Mus musculus: one gene and its partners. The protein of the gene in region 1 interacts with the protein of each later gene in a pairwise test. Links are inferred from orthologs where the notes say so. Each region holds a gene or a part of one and is shown on either strand. Other genes may lie near its edges.

What was found.
Region 2: the proteins of Cep63 (region 1) and Ssxb9 interact in binary tests that used the Homo sapiens proteins (3 or more experiments, as listed by UniProt). The two-hybrid records come from large-scale screens. The link is inferred for Mus musculus from reciprocal best matches to the Homo sapiens genes CEP63 and SSX3.
Region 3: the proteins of Cep63 (region 1) and Snrnp70 interact in binary tests that used the Homo sapiens proteins (3 or more experiments, as listed by UniProt). The link is inferred for Mus musculus from reciprocal best matches to the Homo sapiens genes CEP63 and SNRNP70.

The regions. Positions count from the first base shown.
Region 1 is NC_000075.6:102,623,504-102,627,103, reverse strand, and holds the start of Cep63 (centrosomal protein of 63 kDa), read left to right. Parts: upstream 1-979; 5' UTR 980-1,072; coding exon of another isoform or gene 1,073-1,122; coding exon 1,123-1,200; intron 1,201-1,206; exon of another isoform or gene 1,207-3,417; coding exon of another isoform or gene 3,418-3,510; coding exon 3,511-3,548; intron 3,549-3,600. UniProt on the Homo sapiens protein: Required for normal spindle assembly.
Region 2 is NC_000086.7:8,365,711-8,369,659, forward strand, and holds the start of Ssxb9 (synovial sarcoma, X member B, breakpoint 9), read left to right. Parts: upstream 1-1,267; 5' UTR 1,268-1,391; intron 1,392-3,831; 5' UTR 3,832-3,844; coding exon 3,845-3,949. UniProt on the Homo sapiens protein: Could act as a modulator of transcription.
Region 3 is NC_000073.6:45,392,943-45,396,446, reverse strand, and holds the start of Snrnp70 (U1 small nuclear ribonucleoprotein 70 kDa), read left to right. Parts: upstream 1-704; 5' UTR 705-938; intron 939-1,274; exon of another isoform or gene 1,275-1,354; intron 1,355-1,631; 5' UTR 1,632-1,641; coding exon 1,642-1,788; intron 1,789-3,504. UniProt on the Homo sapiens protein: Component of the spliceosomal U1 snRNP, which is essential for recognition of the pre-mRNA 5' splice-site and the subsequent assembly of the spliceosome. SNRNP70 binds to the loop I region of U1-snRNA.

The DNA of each region.
Region 1 (3,600 bases):
GTCTCCAGCGGTAATGTAAGGATACCCAGTCTTTCCACAAGTTCGCCTCAATACTTTGTAACATGACTCTCTTCTACATGCTTAGAAACTAGCACGCTTTTCACCCACCCCCGTCCCTCATCACTTATGCTTGGCCGTCCTTCCAAACACATCTATTTTCCTGGGTCAGGTGCTCGGGTGCTCACCCTTTACGTAAACAGAAAGTTCCCCCGCTCCGGATACCAGATAATATCAAACTCTCAGCTCTCAGATTGTTTCCTTTAGACCCCAGGCTGAGTGCAGTCCCAAGGGTCCATTCCTTCACCAGTCCCCTAGATCTCTGGGCACAATACGTGACAACAGGAGGAAAGCTTGTCACATTGCCCGGATATCTCTTTCTAGACATTAGATGCGTACGTCCTATGAGACATACACACCTTTCATGCACACAGCTTTGTAAATGTATTTCTAAGCTACGAGCACGGCGCCTACACTAAAATGGCCCTCGGAGGCCACCATCCTGGGACACTACAGTCACCCGCTGCAGCGACTTCCGGTTCGAGGGGTGGGAGGATACTACATGCGGAAGTGCAAGGGGGGAGGTCGAGCGTCGCCATGGGGGCTCCGTTCCACTCCGCACAGCGTGCAGTAAAGAAGTGGCTCTGAAGCTCGGTTGAAAGTACCGGCCCGCGCCTCTGGAAGCGGTAGACGCCGGAGTTCGAGGGCGAACGCTTGGCCACCCTCGGAAACCCGGGCCGCGGGCGCGAAAAACCCTTACCCACTGCGCGCGCGTCGGCTTCCTCCCGGCCCCGCCCTTCTTCTGGGTCACGTGACTCGCGGCGCTCTCAAGCCCCGGATGTGGGTGAGTCCAAGCGCTGCGGCAGGGGGCGGGACGGACAGCGATTTGTTGTGACTTGCGCGCATCCCCGGCCGGAGGAACGGCGGGCAGGCCCGGGGGCGCGCTCCGCCGGAGGCGCGCTCTGCCGGGGGCGCGCTCTGTAACCGACCGCATGCCCCAAAGACGGGCGAGCTGCGGCTAACTGTGGTGCGGTCTCGGCCCTGGCCACGGTGGTGCCGCTAGGCTCCAGGCCTCATGGCCCGCGGCCGCAGCTCGTTGCGGCCCACCTGCCGCGGGGCTTTCCAATGCCGGGTTGCGGCTGCCCGGTCGTCGCGCCCCTGGGTTCCTCCTCCTCCCTATGGGACTCTGGGCTGGCCGGCCAGGTGCTTCGGCCTGCGGGAGGGCGGGCTGCGGGCTGTGGGCTGCATGGCTCCCGGGAAGGGACCCGGCTGCTGCTGCTGCCGCCGGTGTAGGACCAGGCCTTAGCGTTAGCCGCCCAGCGGGAAGCCCGCAGGGTTCCTTGGTGATGTTAGTATGAGAGGTGCGGAAATGTGGCGGGAACCCCTGATGGCAGGGGAATTGCAGATGGCTTCACGCTTTCAAGTCAAGCATAGGAAACAAGATTGGTGGAGTGAAAGTTTGGAAAGGGGAATTCCACAACAGCGCTTTCACGCGGAGACACTTGACAGTGAATGGGCTTTTGTCCTTTACAAAATCGTGGAGTTAGTGCATTCTGATGTCAGACCTAGTTTTCATTTACAGACTGTAGACTTGTTGCCAAAAGTGCTCCCCATTCTCCCCAACTAGCGCTGGCTCTCCTTTGTAGCTATGATCTGGAACTTGCAGTGTAGACCAGGCTGGCCTCAAACTCAGAGATGGGCCTACCTATGTCTCCTAATTAAGGATCCGCGCCACCTCGCCTGGCTTTCTTGAGGCCAATTTAGAGTTTCAAAAATGTATTACTTTATTATAGCTCTTTGTACAACTCGAATATTTGTATTTTATATTTTGTATGTAAGTCAGAGATCAATGGCTATAGTTATCTTTAGCTTTTTACACTTTTTTTTTTTGTTTTGTTTTTCGAGACAGGGTTTCTCTGTGTAGCCCTGGCTGTTCTGGAACTCACTCTGTAGACCAGGCTGTCCTCGAACTCAGAAATCCGCCTGCCTCTGCCTCCCGAGTGCTGGGATTAAAGGCGTGCGCCACCACGCCCGGCTTTTACACTTATTCTTAAAGGCTGCAGCTTAACGATATGATGAAACGAATTATCTTATTTGGAATGCAGCGCCATTTTTAGGTTAATTTTTGTCCCGTGCTCTCTGTCTTTTACTGTGTCGTCCTCAGTGGTCAGTATAGTAAAGGAGGCTGCGAAACTAAAGAGGGTTAGAGACTTAAACCACAGACACATGTCCCTTTAAAATGTGTATATGCTGAAGTTTCAGAAACAATGGAGATATTGTTAATCATGCTGCTGCTGCTTCCTCCCGTGGAGCGGTAGGGACCGGTTACTTAGGCTTTCCTGTACTGTGTGGTGGCTGATGGTGACAGCATTAGTCCACACTGTCATAGCTTAAGGTGCTCCCCATGCCAAAGGCTAGAGTTGCTTTTTTAAGTTTTACAAAAACCACAGTACTATTTTTACATCAGTACAAATTTATAAAAAGCACACAGTGTCAGTGTCCGGTGAGTTCAGGTTCTTCAGCTATTCCATATGTGCTTGTAATACCAAAGTTGTAGACTTGTAGACCAAAGTCCTACAGAGAACTGTCAGCTGCATTCGGTTGCTAGGCCTTCAAAACCCTCTAATCAATAATCAAAACCCTCAATTTCTTTCTTTCATATATATACATATATATTATATACATGTATTATATGTGTATATATGATATTTTCTTTATTTACATTTCAAATGTTATCCCCTTTCCTAGTTTCCCCTCTGAAAATCCCCTATTTCTCCCCCCCCCCCAAGCAGGTTCTTACCTCCCGTTTCTTTATCACTCAGGTTTAGCTGGTTGTATATATTTTTGAATTTATGCCTCTACCTCTTCTATGACCTCTCCTTCACTGGCTAAATCTTGAACTACACTATCCAGTGTGGCAGTCATCAGCCAGCCCTGACATTTTAAATGAACTGTTTGGTTCCCCAGATGCATTAGCCACATTGGAAATGCCCAGCACACACAGGCTGCCTAGTGGCTATTGTCTGATTAATACTGATAAGATGTTTCCATAATTACAGAAAGTTCTGTTGCAATACAATGATCTTTTGAAATACAGTGTTAGATTCAGCCTTGATTTTTGATGGCAGGTACAAGAAAACTCAAAGGTATAGGTTTTATATTATAAAAATTATCTGTTGCGTTCATTGTCAGGGAGACTTGTAATGTCTGAGTCACCCCACTAGGGATGTTAGAATTAAGCTGTGTATGTCGGGGTTCCTGTGCTGTTTGCTCAGTTGAGCCACCATGAAATTGCCCAAGAGCCTTTGGTCAATAGGGAGCTCTTCATGGCTAATAGTGCCTGGGCCGATTACTGAGTGAGAGCCACCGTGGTGCTTTCTAGTGGCGTCATGTGCCCAGTGCTGCTTAGCTGGCACTCTTATGATGAACTTGCCTTCCGCAGCTGACTATCCTGAAGTACAGTTTGTACAGGAATGGCAAGCAAAATGCTTAACTCCGTTCCTTTCTTTTCAGACTACAGCAATGAATTGGTGGCCTAGCAACCTCCAAAGGTAACCCAAGGGCTCCACCTTAAAACAAACAGATAGACTTGAATGTGTTTAA
Region 2 (3,949 bases), on another chromosome or scaffold:
TTTTTTTGTTTTTTGTTTTGTTTTTTGGTTTTTCGAGACAGGGTTTCTCTGTATAGCCCTGGCTGTCCTGGAACTAACTTGGTAGACCAGGCTGGCCTCGAACTCAGAAATCTGCCTGCCTCTGCCACCCGAGTGCTGGGATTAAAGGCATGCGCCACCACGCCAGCTTGGGCATTGAATTCTGAAGTATCTGTTTGTATATTTTTGGTCCAGATGTCCCGTCTATAGGAGAAACTGGAGTGCTGAAATTGCCTCCTATTATACAGTTTGTGTTTATCTGGAGTTTTTATTCCATTAATATGCTTTTATGAAATTGGGTGCACCAGAGTTTTGTGCATATTTGCTTAGTACTATAGTATTTTATTAATTGATTGATCCCTTGATTAAAATGAAGTAACTTTGTCTACAGTTACTGCTTCAGGCACTATATGGAAAAGGAGTGGGCACAGTGGACAGCCCTGACTTGTTTATGTTTTTAGAGGGACTGCTTCACAGTGTTCTCCATTTGGGATAATGCTGACTGTGGGCTGTGGGGAAAGCCATTCCTTTGTAATATGACTTAAAATTAATTTTTATAAATGATTAAGAAGAAAACATAAGGAGAATATGCAGTGAAAATCTTAATTCTGGTCCCAAGGTCCATTGAACATTGCCTTGCCCCAAGAAATGTGTCAGTCATTGTGAGCAGGGCATTATTGACAGAGCAGTCCTCAGAATGCAAAGTCTACATAGCATTAAGGGGCCAGTGGAGGCATAAAATATTTGAGTAGAGAAGCCTTCCTAAAAGAAGCACTTGGGATCCATTTAAAGAGCACCATAAACTCTAATCACATGCAGACTGTTTTGCTATTATTCATAAGAATATTGGTGGAAAACAAGCTCTTGGGTCTTTGGAGAAAGAGCACATATAGGAAGAGTTTCAACTCTAATGCTTTCCTTTAATAAATAATTGAAATGTTATGGGTTTATTGTAAAGAGATCCCAGGTTAGAATGACTAAGGAAGACAGAGGAGAAAATTTTGAAGTGGTTTGCCATATTTTTTTTGTAGAGAAACAACTGCCTAGTAGAGGTGTGTCTAGATATAATTGAAAGCCCAGGTATCCAGAGAAATGCACGTTTCAAGAGTCAAACATATCCAGGAGTAAGCAATGCCAGGGGGTGGGGATCATCATACTTTAGTGGGGATATTTAGTACATCCCTTTGGTGATGTACTTCCTGCCTTGAACACTGGGCTCCAACATTCTGTTCTTACCTCACTTCCCCCTCAGTTTCCTGAGGAATTCAAAGGGTTTGGCTGCCCTGGTTGCTGAGTCTCTAGCAACAGCTGAATCAAGGTGCATATTTGGGTCTCTTCTTGGATAAACACTTCTTTGTCCCTTCCTGTCTGAGGTAGGTTCTTCCTTAGGGATGTCCCAGAAAACTAAACCTTAAATGATAGAAAAGTTAGCCTGTATAGACCAACCTGTGCCTTTCTTGTGTCTCCAGCATTCCTCAGAATTCCTCCTTGGAAGTGTTCTTTGAGCTAAACCGTCACTGGGCAATTACTTATGAAACCAAGAAATTATAACCCTTTTATGTCTGACAGACTGTATGTCACTCTTTGTGAGGGAAGTAGTATACCTCTTAGCTTCACAAACTTTGAAACTTCCTATTTGCCTTGAGATTTCCTCCATCCTCAGTGACACCAAATGATCTCTGTCCGAGGGGCTACTTTAAAACTTCCTCTTGGATGAAGACACAGTCTTCAAGGTCCCAGAGACACCTTAATGTCTACTCACTAAAAGGTTTCTGAAGGATTTAGCTTGAGGATCCTGGTTAGTGTATCTTGAGATGTGCCAAGGTCTTTGACCTTCTGTGACAGTAGGTCCTGTAGATGTGGAGATTCTAGGTCTTTTATCTAAACTACCCTAGAAATAGCCCAGCAGGTCATACTCTACTTAACATGTACACCCCCTTTCAGCACAGCATAGCCATATAGCCATTTCCTAGGTCCCTGGAAACCATCAGTTGGGACAGGGGGACTATTAAATCTGTGGCAATCCTCTCACCAAGTATATATTGGACACACCACATCAAAATCTACACATGATGCAGTGCACTGTACTACAAAATGGTGATCTAAATTCCTTAAAAGGCAGGTACAGGAGAAGTGTTTGGGTTCATGGTTTCTCTGTTAACCTTAGCAACCTAGCTATATTCTGTCTTCAGGGGAAAAACGTAAGAGTAGGTAATGAAGTAGACACATGTATTTAAGTTTCAGCAGTTGCCCAGAACTGTCTTTTATTAAAAAGTTTATAGTGTCTATTACGTTTTACATCTATTTATTTACTCGTTTACTTACTCTAAGAATCCCTCCAATTGCAGTCTCCCTCTGTTCTCTTCCAAGTCCTCCCCCCACCTCCCTTCTTCCCCCATCCACTCCTCCTCTGTTTCTCTTCAGAAAAGGGCAGCCCTCCCATGGATATCAACCAGTCTTACCATATCAAGTTGCAGTAAGACTAGGCATATCCTCTGTTAAGGCTAGAGGTAACTCAGGAGGAAAGAGTCCCAAAGGCAGGTAACAGAATCACAGACAGCCCCTGCTCCTGCTGTTAGGAGTCCTACATGAAGTTCAAGCTCAACTGTTATATTTGCACAGGGCTTGACTCAATTCCAAGCACAGTCCCTGGATGGTGGTTCAGTCTCCATGAACCCCTATGGACCAAAGTTATTTGATTCTTAAGGTTTCTTCTAGTGTCCTTGAACCTTCTGGCTCCTACAGCCCTTCCTCCCCCTCTTTTCAGGATTCCCTAAGCTATGCCTAATGTTTGGCTGTGGGTCTGTGCATCTGTTTCCATTAGTGCTGGGTGAAGCCTCTCTGTGCCTATTATTTTTGTAATAAAATAAAAAGTCAAAGCATTTATTTACTAGGGAAGGTTAAATTCTGGAAATGTTAAGCAATCACCCAGAGCTGGAAGAGACTTCAGGAAAGGATCATGGGAGGCAACATATAGTAAAAGTATGATGGTTTAAGTCACACGTGTGTCTGCTTATCAAATATGGTTAATTCATCATATTTCTCTGTTTTCCTATTCATTTCCACATGAGTGAAGCTTTATGACGTCTCTCTTCTACTATTTTCTTTTTTGGCAAAACTAGGGAATTAATGTAAGGGCCACTCACATGTTACATAAGAATCCTACTACTAAGCTACAATTTAAATCCTGATTGAGTCTTTGAGACAGGATTTAATTATATATTACCCAGACTGGCCTAGATCATTCTTTATAGTTACTCAGACAGGCATTGAACATATGACCCTTCTACCTCAGCCTCCCAACTACCCTGTGTTACAGGCATAAGAAGGGAACTCTGGCTTTTCTTCCAAAAACAAATTCACTCTAGGTAACAACAAACTAGTCACTAATGGGTCTTGTAAAACACTAGGAGCTATTCCTAATCTCTGCTTGTATTTGGTGCTTGGTGTACCTTCTTCTTCTGAACTCCTCACCACCCATCTTCTAGGGACAACTGCTGCTTTCATATCTTCTATGAAATCAGTTTTCACTTTCCTTGCCTGAGTGAGAATATGTGCTTGCCCCATTCAATAAGTTTCTATTTCCTTTAATCTCAATGAACACTTCAGGGCAACTAATCAGGACAGACTCTCACTCTCAAAGACTCAGGATACCTTCATACATGTTTATGCATGTTCATAGAATCTAATTGATTCCTAACCACCAACTCTCCCATAGACCTAGTCAAGGATAGATGATCTCAGGGTGAAACGGTGTACAAGAAATATCAGCTACTGACTCTTACTGTGTATGTGCAACCCCTTCGTTCACAGGACATTTGGTTTTATGCTTGAAGAAGATAAGATTGTGTCTTTTCAAAATCACACTGACATGGAAACAGTGAGTTCCTGTGAAAAGGTCCCCATGGAAGTGCTTTATGAACCAAAGAAT
Region 3 (3,504 bases), on another chromosome or scaffold:
CACTGTAGCTGTCCTCAGATACTCCAGAAGAGGGCATCAGATTTCGTTATGGATGGTTGTGAGCCACCATGTGGTTGCTGGCATTTGAACTCGGGACCTTCGGAAGAGCAGTCGGCGCTCTTAACCACTGAGCCAAAGAGATGACTATTTTATCATGAGCCAAACGGTGGCTAGCACATACAAAAATTTTGGGAAAGAGTTCTCTCTCTCTCTCTCTTTTTCCTCCCTGTGACAGGGTTTCTCTTTATAGCCCTGGCTGTCCGGGAACTCACTCTGTAGACCAGGCTGGCCTCGAACTCAGAAATCCGCCTGCCTCTGCCTCCTAAGTGCTGGGATAAAAGGCGTGCACAACCGCTACCCGGGCAAGAGTTTCCTGTCAAATCCAACGTAAACGCAAAGACCCTGTTCATGCAGGCACTTTTTGACAGGCTGCGGAAGGATATGCGACGTGGTGCATCACTTAGACGCATGCGCACAAGGTCCGGGAAGTGTAAGGAGAAAGGGCGGACCTTCCATAAGTGTCTCGCGGTCATAGGCGGTTAGCTAGAGCGCGAGGCTGAGACCGACCTAGGTCCGATCACGCATGCGCAGTACGACAGCCGGGCCGCGGATGTTTAGCCATTTCAGAATGAGTACAGTTTTGGCGCATGCGCAGTGCCCCTGGTAAGGCCTGGACTGCTGTGAGGGTGTCGTTTGACTCGTACGGCGCATGCGCATTGCGAAAGGCGGAGGGATTCGAGTCGTCTCCACTCCCAGTTCTGGTCGCGAGCTGAGGCCGCGCGGGTTGTGAGGAGAGGTCTGGTTTGCGCGCGCTGCGCGGACCACCGAAGCTACCTGACGCGGGCGCCGCCGAAGTGGAAGTCGGAGCGGGAGTTTTTGTTTGTGAAGGGCGGCCGCGAGGCCTGAGGCTAACGTCAGGCTGAGGAGAGCGCCGCGCGGTGAGTGAGTGGGTGAATGAGAGGCCTTAACGGGGAGTGGGGCCGCTACCCACAAGCCCTTGCGGGGTTCCCGAACCCTTTCCCCGCTGCTGTGGCCCGTTTCCCGGGTTAGTGCCTTTGACTTCTCCCTCTGCGTCCCCCATCCTTTACCCAGAGTTCTCTGGGCACTCCAGCCTTCTTTCCCTCAGGATCCCCCTCCCCCAATCTCCTGCGGTCCCCTACCCACAGGCCCTTGCGGTTTGTGTGTTGCCTTTTTTTCTCGCCTTTTTTTTTTTTTTTTTTTTTGGTCGCATCCTGGACCTCTACCCATAATTCCTTTCGTCTCTCGGCTCCTAGATATTTTACGCAGAGGCCCCTGGCTTCCTGGATATTATCCTTATGGCCTCCCTTGAAATCCCTACTTCATAATCTTAAAGGTATGAAGCGAGCAACCTCTAGAGCGCGAGGCTTCGACCTGGGTCCCACACCTCCTACTCCTTTTCCCCTTTGTTTTCTGTTACCAGCCTTAAGTTTTTCAGCTCTTACCAAGAGCTTTTCTTCAAGCAGATGTTGGTCACTCCCTTGACCAGGATAGCAGCATCCGTCTCCAAATCTCACACCTGTTTGTTTGTTTGTTTGTTTGTTTTGGGTGAAGGGGGCCTAAAAGAAAGCAGTGCTAAGTAAAGTATGCTAACATAACGTTTCTGGTCTTAGATTTGGCAAGATGACACAGTTTCTGCCTCCCAACCTTCTGGCCCTTTTTGCACCCCGAGATCCCATCCCATACCTGCCACCCCTGGAAAAGCTGCCACATGAAAAACACCATAACCAACCTTACTGTGGCATTGCACCATACATCCGAGAGTTTGAGGTGAGCATGTTGGGAGGGAGGGTTTAGCTCTGGATGGGGCAGGCTACCCTGAGGCATTCGGCTTCAAAACAGTTTTAGTTGTGTGGTTCACACATGTGGCTTTTACGTTTTCTGATCATGTTTTGTGCTTTTGTGTGCATTTTAATTTTTTTAATTATACTTTTGTATATGTGGGTGTATGTGCAAATCTGTGAATGTCGGAGGACAGCTTGAAAGAGGCCATTCTCTCCATCTTGTGGGTCCAAGAGATGAAGCCTAGGTTGTCAGGCGTGGCTGCAAGAGCCTTAGCCTGCAGAACCATAGTGCTAACCTCTTTTCGTTGAGTTTTGAGATACGGTTTTGCTGTGTAGCTTAGATCTTATGGCAGTCCTTTCTCAGTCATGTAAATGCTGCATGTAATGGGTGTGTGCTTCCAGGAGCGGCTCATTTCCTTGTAGGGTTAAGAATATCTTTTGTATGGATGTGGTAGTCCCTAGCCCAAGTGATTGGCCAAATTGGTTACATTGGCAATTGTGTCTCCACCCTGACTCCTAAGTCCCCAGACAGGGTTTCTCTGTGTAGCCCTGGCTGTTCTGGAACTCACTCTGTAGACCAGGCTGGCCTCAAACTCAAGAGATCTGCTTGCCTTTGCCTCTCCAGGGTTAGGTGATCCACCTCTGTCGATTTTGTTTTGTTTGTGGGTTGTTGTTGTTTTGACTCTTTGGCTGGGGGGTGGGGGGAATACATTCTTTCATGGTCTTGTAGATTTCTCCTTGTCACTAAGGCTAAACTTGAACTCTTGATGCTTACTGTACTCAAAGAGTTAGAATTATAAGTATCTGCCACTAACCCAGAAAACATAATGTTTAACGCATTGGTTAGGTTGGCCTTTAGCAAGAGGTAGCAGTAAGATGAAACCAGTAGAGAGCTGAGTCACAGAATTTATGTTAAAGGGTTTGGAATAAGGCAGTAAATATCAATGCTTGTCAATGTAGTTACTGTTTTTTTGTCTTTAAGAGGACAAGGTTGCGTAGACAATATGATTTAGCAGTAAAAGGTGATTGCTGCCAAGAAATCCGAGTTCTGTTCCTAGAATCCACAATATGGAAGGAGAGGGTATGCTCTAGCATGCTGTCCTCTGATCTCTATGTGCACAGTGATACGCACATACATCCTTAGCTAAATAAACAAACAGATAAATAAATAATGTAAAAGTAAGGTTATTTTTAGAAGAGGATAGTGTTTACTAGTGCTGAACACTATAGCATCTTGCAGTGCTCACAGCTGGGAGCTAGGGGTTTGGCTCTACTTGCTGAGTACATATGACTTAATCTGAGTCACTTGAGCTTCTTGGAGTCAGTTCTTTTATGCAGAAAGTTTGTCATGCCCACCTTCAGAGCAAACCTAAGGAATACTGCCATATAACCACAAGTCTTAGGAGGAACATTCTGATATTGAGTAGGAAAAGCAGAATTTACTAGATAACAGAAAGGTGATTCTTTAGTAATATTTGTCTGCCTACCTTGGTAAACCTCTACTTGAGAAATGTTATTATACAATAAATATTTAATTTAATGGATATAGCTCAGGGGTACCCTTTTTGCAGGTCATGTGCCAATTAGCATTTAATGATAGCCTGGAGAGGTATCATTTTATGACTTGCTATGTCTTTGCAGATTGTCTTGCTTTGGAGGTCTGCCCTGTCCACCATTATTTCAGGCATATTTCTAGCTTTTG